Styela clava: one gene and its partner. The protein of the gene in region 1 purifies or fractionates together with the protein of each later gene. This does not show direct contact. Links are inferred from orthologs where the notes say so. Each region holds a gene or a part of one and is shown in the gene's direction. Other genes may lie near its edges.

Region 1 (12,349 bases):
TTGAGAACCACTGGTCTAAACGATATTACAAAAAATGCTGTCTGTATGTCAGAAAATTTAGTAATTACCCTACTGTACCTCACATTTGTTAATCAACCAATCTGCGGTTATTTTGTAAACATGAGTTTGAAAAGAAAGTTGACAAATTTAAACAGATTTTTAACTGGATGTGGGAGGGAAAAACAACAATTGTTGCTTGATATGTCAGCAAATTGTGTCGATGTCTAAAGAATATAATCTAAAACGACGTTTTGGAATCTTGTGAGCAATGAACATTTTACAAAGTTAAGATTTTGCTTTGAACATATTATGGATGTTCGAAAGTATATACATTCGCAGAAACAATTTTCCCGTTATGAAAAATTTGAAATCTTACACTAAATATAGAAAGATTTTTGCGTGCTTTAGTAAGTTTTTCGGTGGTTTTTGCTTGTTTTAACTTAAATAAATATACATGACAAATGACAAATACTGATCAATGTGTTTGCACAATAAAAGTGTTTGTTTTGTATTACACCGTTTACCTATATTTGGCACTATTGTGGCCCGCGAACAATGCAAAAATAATTTTGTGGCCCCCAGACCCAACAACCTTGGTCCACCCTGACAATTTAACATTCTCACGATGACACATTGAGACACACCTACATGTCACGCTCCTTGACTATTGTATTCATGATGCCACGCCCACATTCCGTGCCCCTCAACTTAATTGTTAAGATTCATGATGACCCGTTGAGACACACCTACATGCTACACCAGGGGTCGGCAACCCCTGGCACGCGTGCCAATTGTGGCACGCGAGAGGATTTCTCATGGCACGCCAAGCGATTTGACCCATATTCAGATATTTGTTTTCGTAGTGCGACAAACATTCTACAATTGAACAGAATATAACAAATCGACAAATTCAATGAAAAAACATGCAATATTTAACTTCAATCGACGAGAGGCCGAAATCTGTACCCAAAATCGGTGTAGGGTGCAGTAAGCGTGTGCAGTCGATCATCCTCCTCCTTTCAAATTTTGCTAAAATTCCTGACTGTTTTTATCAGCGTGACGTGTTATTTAGGCCGTAAATACTTTTAGTTGGTGCTTATTCTCCCTGAATCACAACAATTATGTCACGACAATGATAATAATTACTTTATTTTTGCCCATAATTGAAAATCTCTCGTAAGATAATTTCCATGCACGTTATCCAATAAAATGAATTTGTTTCTCATCCGCTTACTATTCAAATCAGGTAGTCGGCTATGCAAACCATACACATAAAAATGTTTGGCACGCGAAGGTGCTCATTATTCATAAACTGGCACGCTGAGTTCAAAAGGTTGCAGACCCCTGTGCTACACCGTTTAATATTACCTACCTTAACTTTTTATCCATGATGACACCCCCCACCTCCCTAATTTCACTCGTCTCAACTATTAATTCACGATGACACATTGATACACACTCATATGACACGCACCTTAACTTGAATCCCCTTAAATTGGATTCACGATACGACACCCCTTAATTTCACCCACCTTAACTATTGGATTATTGGTAATACATCGAGACACACCTACATGCCACACCCCTTATCTTCCCCCACTTTAACTATCGGATTCCTAATGACACATTCCTACATGTCAAACCCTTAACTTCACCCCCTTAAATTGGATTCATGATACCCACCCCTTAACTTCCCCCACATCAACTATCACATTTATGATAATACATTGAGACACACCCACATGACACACCTCTTAACCACCTTTACTATTGTATCCAGGATGACACACCCGCCCCTCACCATATTTTAGTAGGGACACAACGGACATAGCCATTTTAGTATGGACATGGCGAACATACCTATTTTAGTGGGGACATAGCGGGCATAGCAATATTGGTAGAGACATAGCCATTTTAGTATGGACATGCCGTTGTACCCGTTTTAGTAAGGACATAGTGGGCATATTCATTTTAGTAGGCACACAACGGACATAGCCATTTTAGTAGGGACATAGCCATTTTAGTATGGACATGCCGTCGTACCCATTTTAGTAAGAACATAGTGGGCATATCCATTTTAGTAGGGACATAGCCATATTAGTAAAGACGTAGCCGTTTTGGTAAAAACGTAGCCGTTTTGGTAGGAACATAGCCATTTTAGTATGGACATGGCGTTGTACCCATTTTAGTAAGGACATAGTGGGCATATTCATTTTAGTAGGCACATAACGGACATAGCCATTTTAGTAGGGAAATAGCCATATTAGTAAAGACGTAGCCGTTTTGGTAAAGACGTAGCCGTTTTGGTAGGAACATAGCCATTTTAGTATGGACATGGCGTTGTACCCATTTTAGTAAGGACATAGTGGGCATATTCATCTTAGTAGGCACATAACGGACATAGCCATTTTAGTAGGGACATAGCCATATTAGTAAAGACGTAGCCGTTTTGGTAAAGACGTAGCCGTTTTGGTAAAGACGTAGCCATTTTGGTAGGAACATAGCCATTTTAGCATGGACATGGCGGGCATACCCATTTTAGTAGGAACATAGCGGACATAGCCATTTTAGTAAAGACATGGCGGACATATAGCCATTTTAGTATGGACATGGCGGACATAGCCATTTTAGTAAGAACATAGTGGGCATATCCATTTTAGTAAAGACATAGCGGACATATAGCCATTTTAGTAAGAACATAGTGGACATAGCCATTTTAGTAAAGACATAGCGGACATATAGCCATTTTAGTATGGACTTAGCGGACATAGTCATTTTAGTAAAGACATAGCATACATATAGCCATTTTAGTATGGACATAGTGGGCATATCCATTTTAGTAGGGATATAGCGGGCATAGCCATTTTAGTAGGGACATAGCCATATTAGTAAAGACGTAGCCATTTTGGTAGGAACATAGCCATTTTAGTATGGACATGGCGGACATACCCATTTTAGTAGGAACATAGCGGACATAGCCATTTTAGCAGTGGCGGCGCGTCAATAGGGCCAACCGGGGCAATGCCCCGGTTGTTTTTTCGGCATAATAAAAAATATTTGAAAAATACCTCAATATCGGTTGCACACACTGTCTACACTAGCCATATTCTCCCGACATGGTTCATTTTTCGCTCGCAAAGCCTTCGCCGAACGTCGACAGGGCGACGCCGATTTTGCCCCGGTTGCTCATTGTATATCGTATTCTCTCTTTTATCTTCCACTCGCCGCGTTTGTCTCGTTTGTTTTCTGTTTCTTTTACTAAATCATCGGGGCTAGCCCCGAAATTATGACGACACAATGCCGACGTTTCTTACAACAACGTGTTGACATATTCACGCATTCCTTCTCGTTCGTTGGTTGCTTGAAGAGTTGATAGTTTCCTCGCCTTCGTTTTTGTCGCTTGTTTCGCTATTTGAATCAGTTAGAGACCTTTAGTCCATTTGCTTTCGATTTTCCACATTCCTTTTAAGCTCCTCACTTCTTTCCGGCTTCGCATTTCTTGGCCTTAGACCTCATAATGAATAAGGTTGATGCACTACTTCGCACTCCGTTTTCGCAGCTGCCGTTGGAACAAAAATTAGAGGTACCACGTCTTGGGCCTTACCAACCAAAAAAATGTTCACTGGAACAATCCCATGACGGAGGAAAGCGTCGGCGTACATTCTGCGCAAAAACTTGGTATAAAAAACACGAATGGTTGTGTTACAGCGAGGACAAAAATGCACTTTTTTGTTTTTATTGCCTACTTTTGCTACCGCCCGTGACTCACGTTGGTGTAAATTTGGTTTTAGAGATTTTAAACATCTTTCCGAGCGTGCCAGGGATCATCAATCTTCTATGGAGCATCTGGACAATGCAGTAAAATACCGAACATTCGGAAATGTTAATATTGCAGCACGGTTGGATGAAGGACGCGCGGTTTCTATTCGTCGGCACAACCAAAACGTCGAGAAAAACCGCCATGTTCTCGGTCGATTGATAGATGTTTTGAAGTTCATTGGTTGTCACGAGCTGTCCCTCCGTGGGCACGATGAACGGGCTGGCTCTTCTAATAGAGGGGTATTTTTGGATATGGTGGAATACACCGCATCCCTGATACAGTATTGAGAGATCATCTTGATGCCGCAACTGTTTCGAAAGGGACATCTAAGGATATCCAAAATGATTTGCTCGACTCAATGTATAAAATTTATTTACAGCATTTGGCTCTGGAAATTGAGAATTGCCAACTGAAATCACGTGCGTTTCCCAACTGGCTGTGATTTTTCGGTTTGTGAAAGATGGTAAACCTACCGAGAGATTTCACAGCTTTGTACCAATCGTTGATCGCACGGCTTGCGGGATATCGGCTGTACTGAAAGAAGTGTTACAGCCTTACAACGCGAAGTCAAAATTGATAGCTCAAACTTATGCAACCGATATTGAGGTATTTTTCGAATATTTTTTATTATACCGAAAAATTGCCCCGGTTGGCCCTATTGACGCGCCGCCACTGGATTTTCCTCATGCGCATTTTTTACATTGTTATGCACACCAATTTAACCTCGTTATTAAAAATATGTTTCTTGATACCCCTCTCGTCCGTATATTTTTTGCAAATGTTTCGGGGTTTTTATTCATTTTTTTCCGTTTCGCCGAAGCGCTCTGACCTCCTTCGCCAGATATGTAGCCGCCGTCTCCCAGCTTGTGCACCAACACGTTGGAACTTCCAATCACGCGTGGTGCAGGGCGTGTCCGAAATTAGGTCTGAGCTCATTGAATGTTTCAATGGCATTCAGAGCTCTCCGGTTTGGGACGAACGCTCTGTGAGGGAGGCGGCAGGTCTAAAGCGTCTGCTAGAAGATGGTGAGTTTTCATTTTTTCTCCACAATATTCTATCACGTGGATGTATTATACGGCGCATTGCAGTCAAGGCTAATGGATGGAGCGTCTGTGCAGTCGTGTATTTCAGACTTCTGCGATGCTGTATCTCGTATCCGGGAAACAATAATATACGACGACACATGGAGTGCTTCTTTACGCCGCGGGCAAACAACGCAGCGTTTGCATTTGTCTGCAAAGGAATGCTGTGACATTCTGGTGAATCAAATAGGCGATCGTCTGCGCACTGAACACCTTGCCGCGTTCTCTTTGATGAACCCCAAAAATTTTTCAAAATTGCACGTCAATTTCCCATCCATTTGTTGGCTACTGTCTCCAAATTTTACCCCATGATAAACGTGGGTAAATTGGAAAATGAATTGCGATGTATATACACCAATCAAACTTTTTTGAACATCACATCAACTTGCGCGCTCTATGGGTTCCTCATAGATAACACTCTAGTAACTCCCATTGCGGCGTCTGCAAAATTTCTGGACATCGTTTTGACGACGCCTATTTCTTCCGCCGACGCAGAGCGAACATTCAGCACGCTGAAGCGTATTAAAACGTATCTCAGAAACACAATGAAGCAAGATAGATTAAATTCCTTGGCTGTTTTATCCATTCACAGAGACGTTATTTCTGGGATGCATGACTTTAATCAGCGTGTTATTGAGCATTTTGCTTCCAAGAAACCGCGGCGTGTTGCATATATGTTCAAGCAGTAGAAGTCTAGCAGCATATATATCTATGAGTGAGCGACGCATGTCCTTATCTTTGCATTATCTTTTCTTTCTTCGTAGTAACGTTTTAAACCTTATTTTAGGTTTTGTCTGCTTTCCCGAAGTTTCTGTTAATATGTCATTGTATTTATCTGGGTAAATATTGCCTTTCCTTTTGAAAGAGGTTTCAAAAACAATGTCTATATATATTAATCCCTTGACTTGGACCGGTTTTAAAGACACTTTCTTATCGTTAAAAATTGTCGCTTTTGCCGATTGGTTGTTACCGATGGAATGGTTTTTATACTCATGAAATGATGGGAGAACTTACAGCGCTCATCCTGTCCCCGTAGATGGGGGTGACTTGGTCCCGCAGTAGCTTGCCCCGGTTGTCAAAATGACCACGCGCTGCCACTGCATTTTAGTAAACACATAGCGGACATATAGCCATTTTAGTATGGACATGGCGGACATAGCCATTTTAGTAGGGACATACCCCTTTTAGTAGGAACATATATCAAAAGGGGTGCATGCCGCACATTTGTGTTTTAGGCCAATATGGTCTTGTGCATACATCCCGTCTTCAGTATTTATAATTACTTACTCTTTTATATTGCTTTTACGAGACGAATAAACATACATACATACATAGCGAGCATAGCCATTTTAGTAAAGACATAGCGGGGACATATAGCCATTTCAGTATGAACATGGCGGACATAGCCATTTTAGTAAAGACATAGCATACATATAGCCATTTTAATATGGACATGGCGGACATAGCCATTTTAGTAGGGACATACCCATTTTAGTAGGAATATAGCGGGCATAGCCATTTTAGTGGGGACATAGCCATTTTGGTAGGAACATAGCTATTTCAGTATGAACATGGCGGACATACCCATTTTAGCCGACTTGTCTTTCAGCCTGCGGAATATTTATTTGAACTAACTTAGTTTCTAAGCGGTTCAAAAATTGCAATTTTCACGTTACTGTATTGTGAACTTGTTGCTGATTGTTTATGGTTACGGAAATAAACCAGGAAATCGATGCCCGGCGGAAACTTCCACTGTCCTTATTAACCGCTTCATTTAAGCACCGTTGTGCATCGAAGACTCTGAATTATTTATTATAGCTGTTCAGTGACCCTTGACCGCGTTCTATGTTTGTTAGCAACCTGCATTCCTGAACGTTTCTCGTTGACGCGTTCTTGTTTTTCTCAGAATAGCGTCCACAAATTGTGAAGTTTCTATGTGTAATTTTGGAAATTAACAACAAAAATGAATGATCAAGTGAAGAAAATTGTTGAAATATTGAATAAGAAGCCCTTTGAGAAGGAACTTAGTGCGATTGCGTTTCATTCGCTTGGATCTGAGCAGCTTATTCAGTTGATGAATGATATTTTAGCCCATATTGACAGCAGACATGCAGGGGATATACGGGAAGAAGCTCCGGACGCTAGAGCAGGTCGAATTTTGAATGCTTTGAAAAATCTGAAATATTCACCGCCTCCAAATGCCGATGTTTCAAGTTTTCGACAAGGAATTGTATTGGGGGAAAAGGAAGTTTATTGCCCAATTCTATTTTATCTCCTGACAAATCTGGATTCACTGAAAACTCGTGCCTACTTAGCAAAGTTTTTGGTGAAGTTACAGCTTCCTCCTGAATTTGTTCAAGATTTTTCGGATGCACAAATGCAAGAGGCTTGGCATCGGTACGAAGAACTTCAAGATCATTTTCTGAACTGCCACAAGGAGTACGTTGATCTGAAAAAACAAAGTCATGGTACCGGTGAAATCCGCAGCGATATTACCACCATGGAAGAAGAGAAAGAAAACCTTTCAAAACGTGTAACTCGACTTCGTAAAAAAGTTGAAACATTTCCAAATCTTAGCGAAGCATTATCCACTGCACAAAACATGCGTAAAGAAAAAGAACGAGCAGATGATTTGAAGTTAAAAATACAACAACAACGACGTCAGTTACAACTCAGCGAACAAAGATTACAGAACGCTAGACAGAGTCTCCAAGACGCACGACAGGCTGGCTCGAACGCAAACCCCGAATCGATAATTGGGAGAATGGAAGAAGACAACCGTGTCAATAAATATTTAATCGATGAAAAGTTACCGAAAGAAATGAAAAGTCGGAAAAAGTTTTTACAGAGTTTACAACAAGTTGCATTGGAGCCTGCGATCACGCAAAACGATCTGGACAGGATTGAATCAGATATTCAAGACATGAAAAATAATATCAACAGTCTTGTCGAACAACGAATGGTCAAAAATTACCCAGCGAAAGATAATTTGACAATGTATCGCCAACAAGCTTCGATCCTACAACATAAGAAAGAGACTGTGTCGGAATCATTGCAAGAAACGCAAGAAGAGTTTCAAAAACTGGAAAGTGATGTTAAAAAAAAGAGACAACAGCTTACTGAAATGGGGGGAGAAGTTCTCCGTGGAGAAGCGTTTAAAAATTATGTTTCAAAGTTACGTGGAAAAAGTAACAATTACAAAAAGTCCAGACAAGAGTTATCAGACCTTAGAGCAGAGCATGGTGTTCTCTCTCGCACTGAACAGCTTCTAAAACAAAAACACGAAGATGCGCAAAAAACTCTCCGCACTCGAGAACTTAAAAGTGGAGTTTCAGGTTTTCGTGATACCCAAGATGACTTGGAAAAAGTATCGTCGATGAAAAGTGAACTTGATGACGCAAAACATCGTACTTTAGATGACATGTCAGATGCCGTAAAACGTCTTAATTCAATCATCCAAGACAAGAAATCTGACCTTGCCCCGCAGATCCGTGAACTACGACCTTTACGTCAAAAGAACCAGGAATTGATGCAGGAATGGACTGAGAAAAAGGGGCATTACGATGGAGTTCTTGCCGGGCTTGAGTCAAACCGTGCTCAATTGGAACAGACAGTTACAGGATTACGAGAATTCTGCTCAGAAACGGAGAGCCGATATTTTTACTTGAAAAGCATGAATAAAATTATCGAAGTCCAATTAGAACGAGCAAATAAGGAATTACGGACGTACATGTCCGCGACTGGAGCAGATAAACAGAAATCCTATCGAGAGATTTACAATAAAAAGATACAAGAGCAAGAAAATAGAGCAAAAGCACTTCGTGAATCTCAGAAGCAAGTTCGTGAAAATCACGATCAGAATCAAAAACAAATGTTAATGTGGTCGGATCTAGATAAAATAATGCAATGTAAATTGGACTGTGCTAAAAAGATGATGAACTAGGATTATTCATCAAAATGACTGTATTTTGAGAAGATATTGGGCCCAGGGGACGGTACATTACTCCTATATAAGCTTCAAATTTTTGTATTATGGTATCGTATTTTGATGTTGAATTCAACAAATACTTTAAGACAATGAAAATAGTAAAAAGCAACATAGCCTGGGCAATATGAAAAATCTCCAGAATTGCTGATGTCCTTTGACTCTTGGTTTAAAGACCTATTATTGATTATTGAATCCCTAATTAAAGGAATGAAAGGAACTATTATTTTTACAAGAACTAGAATTCTTTTTTGATTCAGCATCAATTCATTACACTCTGCTCTGGGTATGGGGGGATTTATTAGATACCGTACACAAATTATTGTAGTACTTTGTGCATGTCAAGTTATGTTGAAATATTAGCCTTTTTGTATAATTTTATTTCAAAGCCTTTAACCTTGTGTTGCTTATCTGACTGTTGTAAAATGTCATCGGCCCAGTACAAGATTTATCCCAAAATCTTCTAATGAGCTAACATTTATAAATTGTAGACATTTCTCTGATATCTGGTTCAGAAAGTGTTTAATATTGGTAACAAAAATGAATTCGTAATTTTATTTTATTTTCACTATTACTGCAATGTGATTTAAATTTGTTCTGATCACCATGCATAAGGCTAGCAAAAGATTCGTCTTAATTTACCAAGAATCTAATTAGATGCTTATTTGGTTCCCGGTTTTGGAAATGTGTAATACCGAGTGCAAGGTTTGAATGTGAATTTTTCGGTTTTTACTCTGAATGCAATGTTGTTTCAAATTGGGGGCTAACCCTAACAAGTTCAGATTTTATTATCTAAATAGTTGGGAACCCTTCCTAGCAAAATTGTACATATTCAAACACGCCTATATTGAAGTATTTTACAAAATACAGTATTTGGTCAGACTTTTAATCCATTCTGGCTTTTTAACAACCAGAAACCATTGAAGCAACCAGGGCAGAACGACCTTGTCCTAATAAGCAAGTGTCAGTGCTGCTATTTCCACTTCACTGCTTTTCTTTTGTGCATATTAGGAACAGTACTAAGTAGACTATGATTTGATGTTCATGTTTGTTAATAAAAATGTTATTTTTGTTAGATTCTATATTATATATTTTAAATTATTTTTATCGAAACTAGCAATTCATGATGAATCGGTCGAAGAACTCTGCGGCGCAGACTCCTGAAGCGAGAGCAAGGTAGGCACTAAGTTTTCAATGATTCCTGAAAGCACAGCTTTGGAAAAGTAAAACATTTTGATATCCTGGCTTTCTTATGGGAATGCATAACAAATAGTCATAATGAGGATTAACATGTTTATTCCAATGGAATCCCGTATGAAGGCTTAGTCGTGGCAAATCACGACCTCTCGTCCGGTTGCCTGCCTTTGTCTTCATAATAATTTGATATCATATCTTCTAGGGACAATCAAACGAAATTTATTCGCGAAGCTGTTACCAAAGTAGAGAAGAATTTTGGGACAATCTGTGGACAAATGGGAGCTGTGAACAGAAGAAGCAGCAGATTGAGAGATAAATTTGATGAAATGGCAAAGGTGGGATTGTTGACATAGAATTTTTTTGAATTGCTCAAATCAAGCATGTGCGCTTAGTAAAAAGTAATGAGCCTAAACAACTGAATTCCATGACAACTACCAGTATAATATTTTCTATACAAAACATGATATATATATATATATGGATATGATTTACATATTTATCCCGGGGGAGAGGAAAGCCGATAAGACGACTTATCCATATGGCGAACCACGGCCTCTCGTCCGGTTACCATTCCAAGTCGGGTATGGGATTAGTTTTACTGTATTGTTTGTTTTCGGAAGCATGGACTTGGTGGTGGAGGAAGCCGTAACCGACCAGCGGTTACGTGAACCACCCAGCGACGGCGAGGAGTCCAGCAATCCTCTCGCACATAACCATCCCTGCATGGGATTCGAACCTGCGAACCCACGCAGAGTAATTAGAGGTGCGGTGGCGAGCGTATTCCTAACGCTTAGCCCGTTGAGCCACACCGCCGCACCGATTTACACTTATTTATGCCATATTTACACTTATCCTACAAACAATGCTCTGTTTAAGTAGCCAGCACTGTTTTGCAGTTTGCTGGGACAAATAGTTTTTTTTTGTAACTATTTATCCAAAGGCTTCCGAATTTATAGTAATTGGAAATGAAAATGTTTTTTTATTTTTTCAAATTTTATCAGAGAGCTGATTTTGCTTTTGCTGATAAAAAAACACATTGCTCTTTCAATACTCAATGATTCACTTTCGTATTTAGACTTTTTATACTTTATACTTCGTATTTAGACTTTTTATACTCTTTCTTTATACATTGCCCAATTCTATCTGATATCCATGGCATTCGATTTTGCTGATTTCAAAAAAAAATTATGCTCTCTTTATGATTTTCATTGAATCCCCACTATTTTAAAATAAACTGATGTAGCCAGTAGCCACTTTGATTCTCGGCAACCACAGCTCGTGAACAAAGAGATGCAGGTTGCCGATCGCTGACTCAGGATAAAGTTTAGTCAACTTTAATTAAATTTGTTTAATTACCAAATTTTGTGAAAATAATCTTCCAACTCAAACAAATAGTTGTTTGTGTAAACCTGTGTTATCTTTGAGAACATTTTTTTCAGATTACCTAGGAGGAAAAGTATAAAACTTAACATAAATTTCATATCTTTTTACGAATTTCATTTTTTTTTACCAGTTTATGCTGAATTACGCCAACACTGAGCCAGGACCATTGAAAGTAACACTAACTCAATTCGCGGAACATATCTCTGCTGTCCAGGACTACAGGCAAGCTTTGGTGAGTTTTACATTTGTAATCCTGATTCTCAGGTAAAACAAATTTAGTACTGTTCAAATGGTTCCTAAACCAATCCAATATGGCCTGCCGAACTTGAGTAAAATAGTTTAACATATTTCGTTTTTTTCTTTTTGTGTCCTAGATATAATAGTAACAATTCAGTTCGGTATCTTGACAATTTGGTATCTTGATTATACATACCGGTACCGGTATCAGCTCTTTGCAGGCGCACCTCTCTCCTGGTCTGCGATTATCCTTCAGTTTTGGCCTTCAGTCTTTGGAAACCACTAGTCCAGAGGATTGATTTTTTTTATTACTATTGGACTGGGTACTATTGTTGTTTATTGTTTCTCTCCAAAAAAGATTTTGGTTTCGAGCTTCCAAAGACAAAAAAAATCTTTGGGCTGAAATCATTTTTCTACAAACTTGAACACTTATTAAACTTTTGATGGTTACTCCCGTAGTATATGTACCAGGGTAAGGTTAGGCCATCTTTTTAATCCGATTTTCCTTATTTTAGTTCTATTACGAGTTCGGGGACTGTCTGTGTTAGCCAAGTGAATTGCCCATACGTTTGTCCCTGTACACAACTTAATATAAAATAGGCAAACAATATTAGTTACCTCCATATCGGTACACATACTTCTGGA
Region 2 (11,802 bases), on another chromosome or scaffold:
AAGTCATGTACTTATAAATTCATTTTGTCCTGCAAATCAAACCCCGAATGCATTACAAAATTAGAGGACTTGCACGGGTCACGTGACTGTGTTTACTGGACGGCAAAAAAAAAACGTCCAGCTGGCTCCTTTCAGTTGCAAGTCGGATTATACGTTTCCGTTTTGTTTGGCTTTTGAAAATGGTTATTTCGTATTGTTCCGTTGGCTGTACGTATGCTATAGACAACGGAATGGATCTTCAGTTATATTCTACTGTTTTCAAAAGATCCGGAACTCTCCCATTTCAATAGAAAGCAGATGACAAACTATACTGTTATGTTATTGGTAGGCCTAGGCGTAGGCCTACCAGCAGGCTTGACTTGACATCAATTGTTCTAAGGTTTTGTTTCCCTAGTTAGCAGGTAATCTATTAGACTAATGAACATATATATATATATAGATTTTTAACGCATATTCATTCACGTGGGCGTTGACGACTGTCGGTGTCTATCGTCAGTTTGACAAACTTGGTCAGTCAAAATTTGTGTCAGACGCAACTAATCAAACCAATCAACAAACAATCTATGTGTAGTGGTAATTAATCGCTATAGATATGCTAGGGGGAAAACATATATTCTGAACACATATATAAGCTTATTACAGACACTTTAATGTTGAATGTGTTTTTATTGAAATGGCGCATAAAATATTTCTGATTCTGCTTATAATTATCTCCTGATTTTTATTGTGACGGAAGCACTCCATCCATTCTTTCACCATGAACCTTTCCTCGACATTTGACCCCGGAAAGTTTTTTCTATCCTTTACCATTGCAAAATTTTCGGCGCTTATTATGAGAGCGGTTTCACGAGTTGGCGCCTCTAAAATGGAATATTTGTTTCAAACCATCAACCTGATTCATAGTATGCAATAATCACTAAAGGGGTCGGTAAAGAATTTTAGCCTAGTCTATCACAGCTGTTTCTACATTAATTTTTGATGAAACTGCAATTAAACTCAAACTACTAAGAAAACATATGATCATTGAAATATTTTTCGATTTATAATTATAATTATGAAATAATTTATATAATTCATTTGACAACTGAAAACTAGCGGATAAAATTCAAAAGCGCGAAAACGAGATAATGTTTACGACCCAGCCTGAAAATCTGTCGGAGCAACGATTAACGGTCGGAGTGAGAAAAGTGTTTGAGCGGATGCGAAAAGAGCCATTGTTACGTGACGGATTTTATAACTTATATGGCTCGGCGATGTGGCGCATCGTGCTAAGCGTTAGGAATACGCTCACCACCACAACTAGGATTACCCTGTGTGGGTTCGAATCTAGCTGGGTTAATTATGTGCGGGAGGATTGCTGGACTTCTCGCCGCCGTAGGGTGGTTCACGTAACTGTTGGTCGGGTACGTCTTCCTCCACCATCAAGTCCTCGCTTCGGAAAAATACAAATAGCTGACTAACTAATCCCATAGCGCATGATTGCCACCAGGTATATTCATGTTGAAGATAAGTGAAGCACAACCGGTGTATAGCAAAACATCGGCAAATAAAATCGTTTTGCTATACACCGGTTGTGCTTCACTTATTTTCGACATAACTAATCCCATACCCGACATGAACTGGTAACAGGACGAGAGGCCGTGGTTCGCCATATCATTAAGCCCAGGGGCGGATTATGTCCCTTTGGTGCCCTAAGCACTGAAGACTTTGGTGCCCTCTTATGTGTATTTTAAATTATAAAAACAATAAACTACATAAGTGTATCATCCATCAAAAATTATTACAACCAACAGTAAATAAAACAACTTTTACGAATATTTTTTAGGTTTTTTTTTAACTGGTATACATAACCGATATATATATATATATATCGGCCGTTTACTGCCGATATATTAGCCTATATCTGCAAACACGCAATATCAGACCGGTATAACGGTTAAGCTCTAATCCTGAAGAAGTTCGACGATGAAGATTCATGCGTCCAATCTTATCGTGAATCGAAATACCAAAGGATACAAAACAAGTCACAACTGTAGTTTGAAATTTTACCGGTACTTAGTAGTCTACCTCAGGGTGGTCCAATATAGCGAGAAGGACCACAAAAACCTTTTAGAAGGTCACGCGGGCCGCAGTCGAAAAAAACAACAAAAGTGACCGAAATATCGCGACTTTACTTACTTTAAATTCAATGAACAATTAGAGTTTACCGTTCGATTCAGCCTATTATTATGTTGCATGGGTTGCGTTCTTTTAAAGAAGATATATATAAAGCCTTCAGTTATTTCGAAATTAATTACCGAGAATTATCGTTGTATTTTCCGCATCTCGCGTTTGGGTTTATAATGACGCTTCAAATTATATTCGTTCGTGACAGATGTTACTTACCAGAAGCTGTGGTTTACCGTTGTGGTGGGCAAGAATACATTTTCTCCTTGTTTTCTTTATGTCACCTTTCTTTTGACACTCATTATATTACGAATTATTATGACGCTTCAAATTATATTCGTTCGTGACAGATGTTACTTACCAGAAGCTGTGGTTTACCGTTGTGGTGGGCAAGAATACATTTTCTCCTTGTTTTCTTTATGTCGCCTTTCTTTTGACACTCATTATATTACGAATTATTATTTTTGAGTAATTTAAAAATTTGCAGCGTGAGCAGGCTTAACGCTATTGTCAAATAACAACCAAGTTCGACAAATTGGTATTTCGGGACCTAGCCCAAGATAACCTGGATTACGCGGCGTTGAGACAGAGATGGCCCTTATTTTAAAACAGAGGAGTGTTTTTCCTAAAATAAAGGCACAAAATCTCTCTCCGAATAAGGAGTTACCCGACGCGAGTTGAGATGAGAAGTGCGACCCATCTCATCGGTTTGGTCCTGTCTGCACAAGGCAATTCATTCTCATTGTACCGATCACAGCTCACAGGACGCCATTCTCATATTGGCATCGTCTTGACGTTTATAAATACAGCATTGAAATTCCGTGACCTCGACAAGCATAATTCCCGACATTGTGATTAGGAAACGAGTTTGAATCTAGGGATCCCACCCCAGTTGGAATAACTAAAAAAAAAAAGTTCAGGATTTGTCAAGTCATGACAGGGTTTGGACCATTCTGGTCTACCTTATCGAAAGACTCCCGACATCGCTGACCACTAGATCGTTGAAATGCGATCACGGAACCACCATACCGTGCAAATAGTCCATTGGTCCAATAGTTTAAAAGAGAAGAAATTTATTTAAACAAAAATGCATCAACAAGGTGAATACTAGGGGGAAAAACAACAAAAATTTTTAATAAAGAAGGTTAATATGATACTTGAAGACGAGAAATGAGCGAAAATTTTGAAGTCTGAGTTGTCTGCTAAACTTCTCTTACCCCTCTTTGCTTGGTGCCCCAAGCACGTGCTTATATTGTTCAATGGGTAATCCAGCGCTGATTAAGTCGTCTCATCGACTTCCCTCTCCCCTGCGATAAATATGTAAATCCTATCCTACTTTTTGCATTTTGCTGATTGGCCAATGTCACAAAGTAAACAAGGAAGCCGATACTGGGGGACACATCCATAGATCACCAAAATCTGAAAGCTGTAACATACTGTAGCGAGACTTTATTTTTGTGTCAAAGGTCGAGGAAACCGCTGGAAATAGTGCGTAAAGTATTGTACTGCAAGCCTATCACTAAAAATGTATTCGGCTGCTCCGTCTGTCCGTGAGGAATTTTGAATAGAATAGGGGTTTACATTTTAATCCTGACGCAGAGGAAAGTATATCAGGCGGCTTGATCATATGACGAACCACTGCCTCTCGTCTGGTTTCCATTCTGGGTAAGTAGTTAGCCAGGTAATATTTGAAGTTGATACCGTACCGGTACCGTACGGTATTACTGTAATACCAGTCATAAGCAGATGAATTAACTTGAAAAAAAATTCTCTTTACACTGCTACATGCATTTTTTAAATGGTAATAAGGTGGTGTAGCCAGTCTGTTGACGATTTCATTCAAATCGCTAAAACGAATATTTCTAATCCTGTACCGGTAATCCGTTAATTTTTTCACCGTAGGTGCATTGGCATTTATTCTACACGCTAAACCTCGAATTACGACACTCTGAAAACACATTTGCGACCGAACGACCAGTGTGCGACCACGAGTTTCGAGCCTTGAACATCGTTTCTACTGCGTCGAGACTAGAGCATACACAGCCATGCGTGAAAAAATTGGGCTTCTAATTGTATTTCTGACAGTCATATATTTCAAGAACATGGTTATTTCGAACAAAACTCATCAAATTAATAAACAAAGCACCGCATCCCAGCAATCAAACAGACAAAAACACGGTGGTCGCAAATTGGTCGGCAAAGATATTGGAAATGTGCAACCCCTATTCTCCCTCCTTTAAATGTAGAAACGCGAAACTTTAAAGATGGTTAATAAAAAAACACAACTCTACCCACCTGCCAAGTTCCATCTTTTTATCTCTCATATCTGTATGGATTTTCAATTATTTTTTAAAGAGACAATGGGTAGTTGGCGACATAAAACATGATTGAAAAAAAAATGGTCTGTTTTTTTCTTCGGTCGGGTTTTCGGTCGTAACTTTTTTGTTTGTGGCCGCATTTTAGTGTAATTTCGCAGAGCTACGGGGGATAAGTGGATGATAACGTGTGAGAAATATCGTCGCAGTTTGTTAATTTTTTCGGCATTAATTTATAGACTGTTACGGTATAGTCTAATCTTTATGGTGAAAAATCTGGATGATGAATTCTTCCATGAATAGCCTATATAGTCTAACATTAACAATTAATGTAATGATCGTAAAACTTGTCAATAACTTTATAACATTTAAGTTATATTCTTTCTTCATTAAAAAAAGACATACCTGCAGGTCCTGCATACAGACATAAGATGAGCAATGTCAGAATGTTGTCAGTTGCCAAGTCCAGAAGTGAATGCAAATTTCATGGTTAAGGTTTGATGTGGTATTAGTCATAGTCTATCTTGTTCAGTTTTTTTAGTATGTCCAACTGTTAAACTGCTAATACTTTAAATATTTAAGAAGCGCAATCAAAATACAGGATTTTTAAAATGGCGGCTGTTAATTCAGTAATTTATCTGAATGAAAATATAGTCTAATGTGTTTTTGTTTAGTTACTTTAGAACAATTTAGCAAGGAAAGCGAGATAGAGGTGTATTGTATTTCATTCACTCTGCCACTTATCCACCAGCTAAGGCAATATTGAAATGTTTATTATGACTTTTATTTCACCCATTCAACTATATTATGTCCTGAAATTGTACCTACATGATGTGCTTTAAAAAAATAAGCTACGTCTGTACGTTCATAAATGGCATTCAACGTGTGCTATTAGTCCGAAAGTCAGGACTTTAGTATACAGTAGGCTACTTTCTGAAATAAAGTGATGAATTGTTTGCATTTGAACAACAAATTTATGGTCTAGCATTTCGAGCTGTTTTTGATTGAACTACTATGTTTAGATGAACTGAAGTCTTTAGCCTTCGCAATTCGATTTGATCCAAAGGATTCTACCTCGTTTTTCAAACATGGTTAACATTAATCCAGTAAGCTAAGACTTCACATCCATGCTCTGGTTCTACAGTTGTATCAATTTCAGCTAGACTGCCATATTTCACAGTGTTTACCTTTTGTATATTTAGTGTGTTGTTATTTATTTAAATATCTAAAGTCTCTAGCCAAAACAACATAAGAATACTGCCGCTTAAGTAGAGATATTGTTTGACATTACTATCTTTGTCAGTGAGGAAGTCATTCTTGAATATTGCACAATGGCTGGGAGGCCACCAAGCTCAATGCGAGGAAGGCCGCCATCAAGTGGTGAGTTTCAAACATTTCTTGTGTCGCTGCAACATCTTTTCTGTTTTTATATTACCTTATATAAGGGCTATTCCAAGTGACTCTACAGGACAATTCCAGAAATTTTGCATGTTGTTAGATTGTAGCATTGCCAGCTACATGTTTTGTATTATTGTCCAATCAATTGCTCTATGGGGTTTGAACATACCTGCACGAAAGTACACACAAGACTTACTTAATGGATATAAAATATATGTTAAAATATAGGGTGACTCTACAGGACAGCAAATCCACCATGCATTAACATTTCGTTATGTTGTGTTGTAATCGTCAATGAGATTGTGAAATAAACTAAAAAGAAACGTAACCTAAAATCACCACACTCACTTGGAAAGAAAATATCCGATCTATCGAATGAAAAAAAAAATGAAGTGTTTGAGATTAATGGGCAGAAAACGACAGAAACGAGTTCCGATGAATGATGTTACTGAATTTCAATCAACACATGCTGACGAACGTCTGGCCTCCATAGACGCATCAACTTTGCTTACTCACACATACTAGATTAAACTAAATTATTTTGGCCCGCTGCCTGCAGGTTGCACAACCCCTGTTCTAGAATATATCCGCTAATTCGAAATCAGAGAAATGTGCCGTACTGTAAAATGGTATTGAATATGCTTAAATATGCATTATTTACAACAATCTCATTGATTTTTTAAATATTGCAATTTGCAAACAATAGTTTTCTTGCTCAAGCGATTTGAATGATTTGACTAACAAACGATTTGATTAATTGCCATCAGTTATAATTAAAATATTAATATATGTGCAGTGCTGTGGGGTCGGAACTCTGTCATTTAAAAAACAACTTTCGACTCCAGGTTGGCGGAAAAGAATGCAATTTTGTCTCAGGGTCCAACTTCAAACTCCATTCTTTAATTATCTGTTAGGGTCAACTCAATGCTTTATTCGAAAATTTTAACTTGAATATCGCCAATAAAAAAATAGAATTACAGTAAGTTTCGAAACTTCCACTTCAGAATCTGGAGAGGAGATTCTGGCTCTGGCACGGACTCCAATATCAATCAAAATATGCCAATCTCTTGCCTTCATGGCCTTGTACATATCCATCATTAATATTTTGATTTTTTTTATACATCCCTATCAAATAAATTATCGATATATATGTTTTACTTATTGTTTTATGCAGGTATGGGAGCAAGACCACCGATGGGAGGTAGAATAGGCACAGGAGTGAGTAGTACCTTTTGATGTTTTTTGCTGCTTTTTCATTTTCCTCTTCTTTATGTAGACTTCCTAATCGATTAATAACCATGCAGAAAGTGAGCTTGTTGTGAATCAAACGACTAACAGTAATTACTCCTTCACATAATTCTTAATTGGGAATGAACTCGCAAACTATCTGCAAGCCTGTTGACAAGTCAAGTTAATGTCATGTACTGTGTACATTTCAGCAAGTTCCTGGTACTGGTCGCCCTGGTACAAGGGGAGGGCAACCGGGCATGACATCCACTGTTTTACCTGCTGGAATTAGAGTAGCGGATCGACCAATGACACAGCAAGGTCTCGGTGGAATGAAAACAGCAAGTAAAGGCCCCCAACGACAGATACAAGACAGAACTTATTGGCTTGGAGAAATACGGTAGGGTATTATTAAGTATAATGAGTTATATTTGAATCATTGTTGATTTTTTCGCAACAGTAGATCGTAAGATCGTAATCAGTATCAGTTTTCAATCTTGGAGGGAGCACAATTGCTAACGCTGATCACTTCGGATATCTACCGCTAATGCCAAGCATGAGCTGTTTATATTTAATCAATTTTTGAAAGAAAGTCAATTGTGTGCCGAACCAGTTGTGGCAGCTTTGGACAATAATTGGTGACCATCTATTCTTTATATCTCGACCATGTCTGATCGCTAGCGATGAGAAAGACTTAATTTGGTTCCTTAACTGGTATCGAGTGTGTTTGTTTGCAAAGTTGTTAATATTCTATTCTCTTAAGTCTTGATTTTACTCTTTATGTACTGCTTATATTTGCAGTTTTTTGAACCAATTCATTTGGTGATTTTTTCCATTACTGCCTTAACTACTGTAATTATATTATCCTGTTTTGTATTTCAATATCACAGTGCATGAATTTCAATTACCGTATTTCCCGGCGAATAAGTCTACCCAGTAAGTAAGATGAGGCCCGTTTTTAAGCCTGAAACAATGTTTTTTTGCCTATAACCTCCCAATAAGACGGTCAGTAAAATCACATCAGAATCGGAATCTCAAATTACCATGCAAGATAACCCATAATGACTTTTTCTTGTAGCGTAATATTCAATCCATGACATCTATGGGAATTTTAACTGTCTTGCTAATTCTTTATCTCTAATTAACGACAATAAATATACATATAAAGTGTACGGTATATATGAAACATACATACATAATCATCACCTCGAAATCTCCACGAAACGAAATGTGTTAATTGATTTATTTGTGATCAATTTAATCTGCGATTGTGACAATATAAATAGTATCACTCCAAAATACCAACACAAACCGTGCACATAAACATGTTCGATTATATGTTGTTTTGATTCGTATTTTTACAAATTGAACAACTTAAATGAGCTCTTGCTGCAACAATTATTCCGCTTCATCGCAAAGCTGCCACTCATTATTTTGAGGAAATCGACGTAAGAAAAATTCTACCGGTAAATTAAAATCAGTTAAATGCATTCCAAAAAATGAATTAAATTACTTCACATTAATCACGGTATTATAAATATATCATAGTCGCGTCAGGCCCTGTCGGTAATTGTAAAATACAGAATGTTTTTGCGATTTGCAATGTCTAAAAATCATCTGTCACAGGCCATCCTAAAATAAAACCTAGATGGTGTTTCCGTTTAATTTTTAGTATTTCATAATGCCAATATTTTAATCAAGAATATTTGGGTCACATATCACTCCTTCATTCATCTTAGCATCATGTCACATATGATTAGGTAATAACTCGTATCTCACAACACAAGTGCCATGGTTGTTTGTGAACAATGAAGTAACTATGGTCGGTCCTGGCGGCACAAAACATATGTTGAGGGAAATTTATGACTTTTACAGCTCAAATAAGACATCACGCTGACAGAACAATTGACGATTTTCACAAACTGCAATCCCACATTTATCGGTAATAGCCCTCACTCGTGATGCACAAACAAATGCGGCAACTTCAAATATGATAATCTCAGCGTTGAAAATCCAGATTTACAGCGCGAGAACGCCAATTCATTTAAACTGACCTGATGAGGATATTATGGGGGATGCTATCGCCGAAGGTATTTTATGGTCTTAATTGAATAATGAACCGATCCCGAAAAAAAGAAAAATATCATACTCGCTTAATAAGACGGCCTCCCCAAAATCAGGCCAAAAATTTGGGTCTAGAAAAGCGACTTATTTGCTGGGAAATACGGTAATTTAAAATGGGTTGATAAATTTGTTGTAAACTGTGCATGACCGAGAGGTTATACAGCAATCCATCTTGGTAAAAAAGAGAAAATTTTAATAGCTGAATGACAAGTAGAAATCATTAAATTGCTTATTTTTGAAATGCAGGACCAAGACGAATGAATTAGCGTCAGAAATTAAAAAGGTTGAGACAGACGTTCGTCAATATCAGGAAGAAAATAACACTTATCTCATGTTTGAAAAGAGAGCTGAAATGCTGGCGGCTGAGATTGCTGGTCTTCAAGGAGAGCTTCATGATTATAATATGGCAAGTATAGAAAGTTGGGGAAGACCCTTCCTTTATATAGCCTATTGACTTTCGGTTCACTATTAGGGAGTTCATGGAACAAACATGAGAAGTCACATTCTCAGCAAATGTAATTGTCTTTTATTCTTTCCTCATACTTGATTAGATTGATCTAAATATTCTTTTTTCATGTAAATATTTAAAGATCATTATAAAGATCATATTTTCTAAGATTCAATATGATGGTTATTCCATGGTCATGTTTTCATAGAAATTCCTTTTTGAATTATTCTAGTAATTAGTATTAATAGATATTTATGTCAATATTTTATGTAGATGATTGACCAAATCAACATGAACAAAGAAATTACAGGAATTTCTGATGATTATAACTCGGTAAGTGGGAGCATTGAGGATTTATAAAATGTCGAATTGTACAATAAAATCTTCTAAAGTTGTTTTGGTATTTTATATCTGACATGTTTGCATAGGGCAGGGGTTCTCAAACTTTTGGTGTTATGGAGTGTGTGAAGAGGTTGAATACTATTTACGGAGCCCCACAAATTCATAAAAATTATCTATTGGAACTTATAGATACTATCATATTTGAATTACCACATTATTGCCAATTGAAATTTCTGGCTTTCGAATATTTTTTTTAGCTGGATGCTGTTTCTACTATCCAATCATGCATAATGCTCAGTGCCATAATCATTAAAATCACGTTTATTTTGCGCCAGCTGAAAGCTCGAAATGATAGAGAAGAAGAAAGTCTTGAAAGAATATTTGAACAAAGACAGGCAATGGATCAGCAACTTGCTAAATTAGAGAGGGAGATGGATCATGAAAGGACAATGACTGAAAACAGGGTTCAAGACATGGTATGATAAGAATTATGTTTGTATTATTTTTGTCATATTAATAGTAAAATTACCTTTCAGAAATGAAACAGTTATATTTATCTATTTGATTTATTTCCTAGGAACCAGAAATGAGAGAACAATATGTTGCTCTGAAAAAAGAGAGTTTGAAAAACGCAGACATTGTCAATAGTATGCAGGATGAAATTGAATCTTTGAGTTCAAAGCAACAACAGATTGAACAGTCGTTGCAGGTATGAAATGAATAAGTACACTGGTTTCTCCAATGTTGTGAAATCGTGAAAATATACAATCATTGCCGACTTCCAACATCAGATTGAATGAAAACATGAATCCTGACCTCAAGATGAAAAAATCTTCACTCCGATAAATGAAAATTGTCTGTGATTCCAACTCCAAACTCCTGGGGGAATCAAAGTTGAATAATAAAAACTTTGACGTATATAAGTTTTTTTCAATATACTGATGATTACACTAACTCAACTAATTTTTTTTTGAGTTTCTGTCGAAAATTCTGACTTCAATTATCAAAATACTCAAACTTCATTTATTTTTTATGCATATGACAAAATTCATGGAAGGATATGCTATTTGTTTTTCACAAACGATCAGAAGGATTTGTCTTAAATTGTCCTTTCTTCTGCTCAAAAAGTTGTTATTTCTGAACCTAACAAACCTATTTATCTTCATTTCATTGCAGTCAAATCCAATAAAATTGGAAGCAGTTAGATTATATGAACAGATGAATGAACTCCAGGATAAATATACTCAACTCCAGCAAGAACAAGAAACATTTTCGAGTCCGGAGGCAGAAAAAGAAAAATTATTAGCCAGAGTGAAAAGTGATAATCAGGAAATTGCTACTATGGAAAGACAGTAAGTCATATTTGCTCTTGCTCAGAAGTTACTCAGCTATATTCAAGCTTTAAGAAATATGATTTACTAAATGTTCTTTTGAATGAAATTCTCATACCTGCACTGTTGGCTGCATGATATCGCACTCTGCTGTAATTAGCAATGTGGATTTTTGTGCTGTCTCAAGCTGAATCAATTTTTTTTAATATTTGAGCTCTGAGCTCCTGGCATTCTGTTTAGCAATTCGAATTATCTGTGCTGAGTGTACTTGCCATGAGTCACTTGCTCCTAGTGATACCGGAAATAGGCTACCCAGTCTCTTAATTAAACATATACATATGCCAAATGGAATTCATGTTAGTATTAGAGATGTACCGATGTATCGGGTATCGGCAATATCGGCCATTTTTTCAGTATCGGTATCGGTTAGATTAAGACCGATATTTCCGAT

Evidence for each region.
Region 2: the proteins of intraflagellar transport protein 81 homolog (region 1) and intraflagellar transport protein 74 homolog purify together in Homo sapiens (affinity purification with mass spectrometry; 3 studies listed by BioGRID and IntAct, counting the BioPlex papers as one, with this or other methods). This does not show direct contact. The link is inferred for Styela clava from reciprocal best matches to the Homo sapiens genes IFT81 and IFT74.

The regions. Positions count from the first base shown.
Region 1 is NC_135262.1:1,878,264-1,890,612, reverse strand, and holds intraflagellar transport protein 81 homolog, read left to right. Parts: upstream 1-6,738; 5' UTR 6,739-6,865; coding exon 6,866-8,845; 3' UTR 8,846-9,964; downstream 9,965-12,349. Other genes in the region: CBY1-interacting BAR domain-containing protein 1-A-like, read left to right, coding at 10,011-10,063, 10,287-10,419, 11,598-11,699. UniProt on the Homo sapiens protein: Component of the intraflagellar transport (IFT) complex B: together with IFT74, forms a tubulin-binding module that specifically mediates transport of tubulin within the cilium. Binds tubulin via its CH (calponin-homology)-like region.
Region 2 is NC_135260.1:21,840,978-21,852,779, forward strand, and holds the start of intraflagellar transport protein 74 homolog, read left to right. Parts: upstream 1-5,665; 5' UTR 5,666-5,812; coding exon 5,813-5,861; intron 5,862-7,053; coding exon 7,054-7,097; intron 7,098-7,318; coding exon 7,319-7,506; intron 7,507-9,476; coding exon 9,477-9,636; intron 9,637-9,951; coding exon 9,952-10,011; intron 10,012-10,355; coding exon 10,356-10,496; intron 10,497-10,597; coding exon 10,598-10,729; intron 10,730-11,196; coding exon 11,197-11,372; intron 11,373-11,802. UniProt on the Homo sapiens protein: Component of the intraflagellar transport (IFT) complex B: together with IFT81, forms a tubulin-binding module that specifically mediates transport of tubulin within the cilium. Binds beta-tubulin via its basic region. Required for ciliogenesis.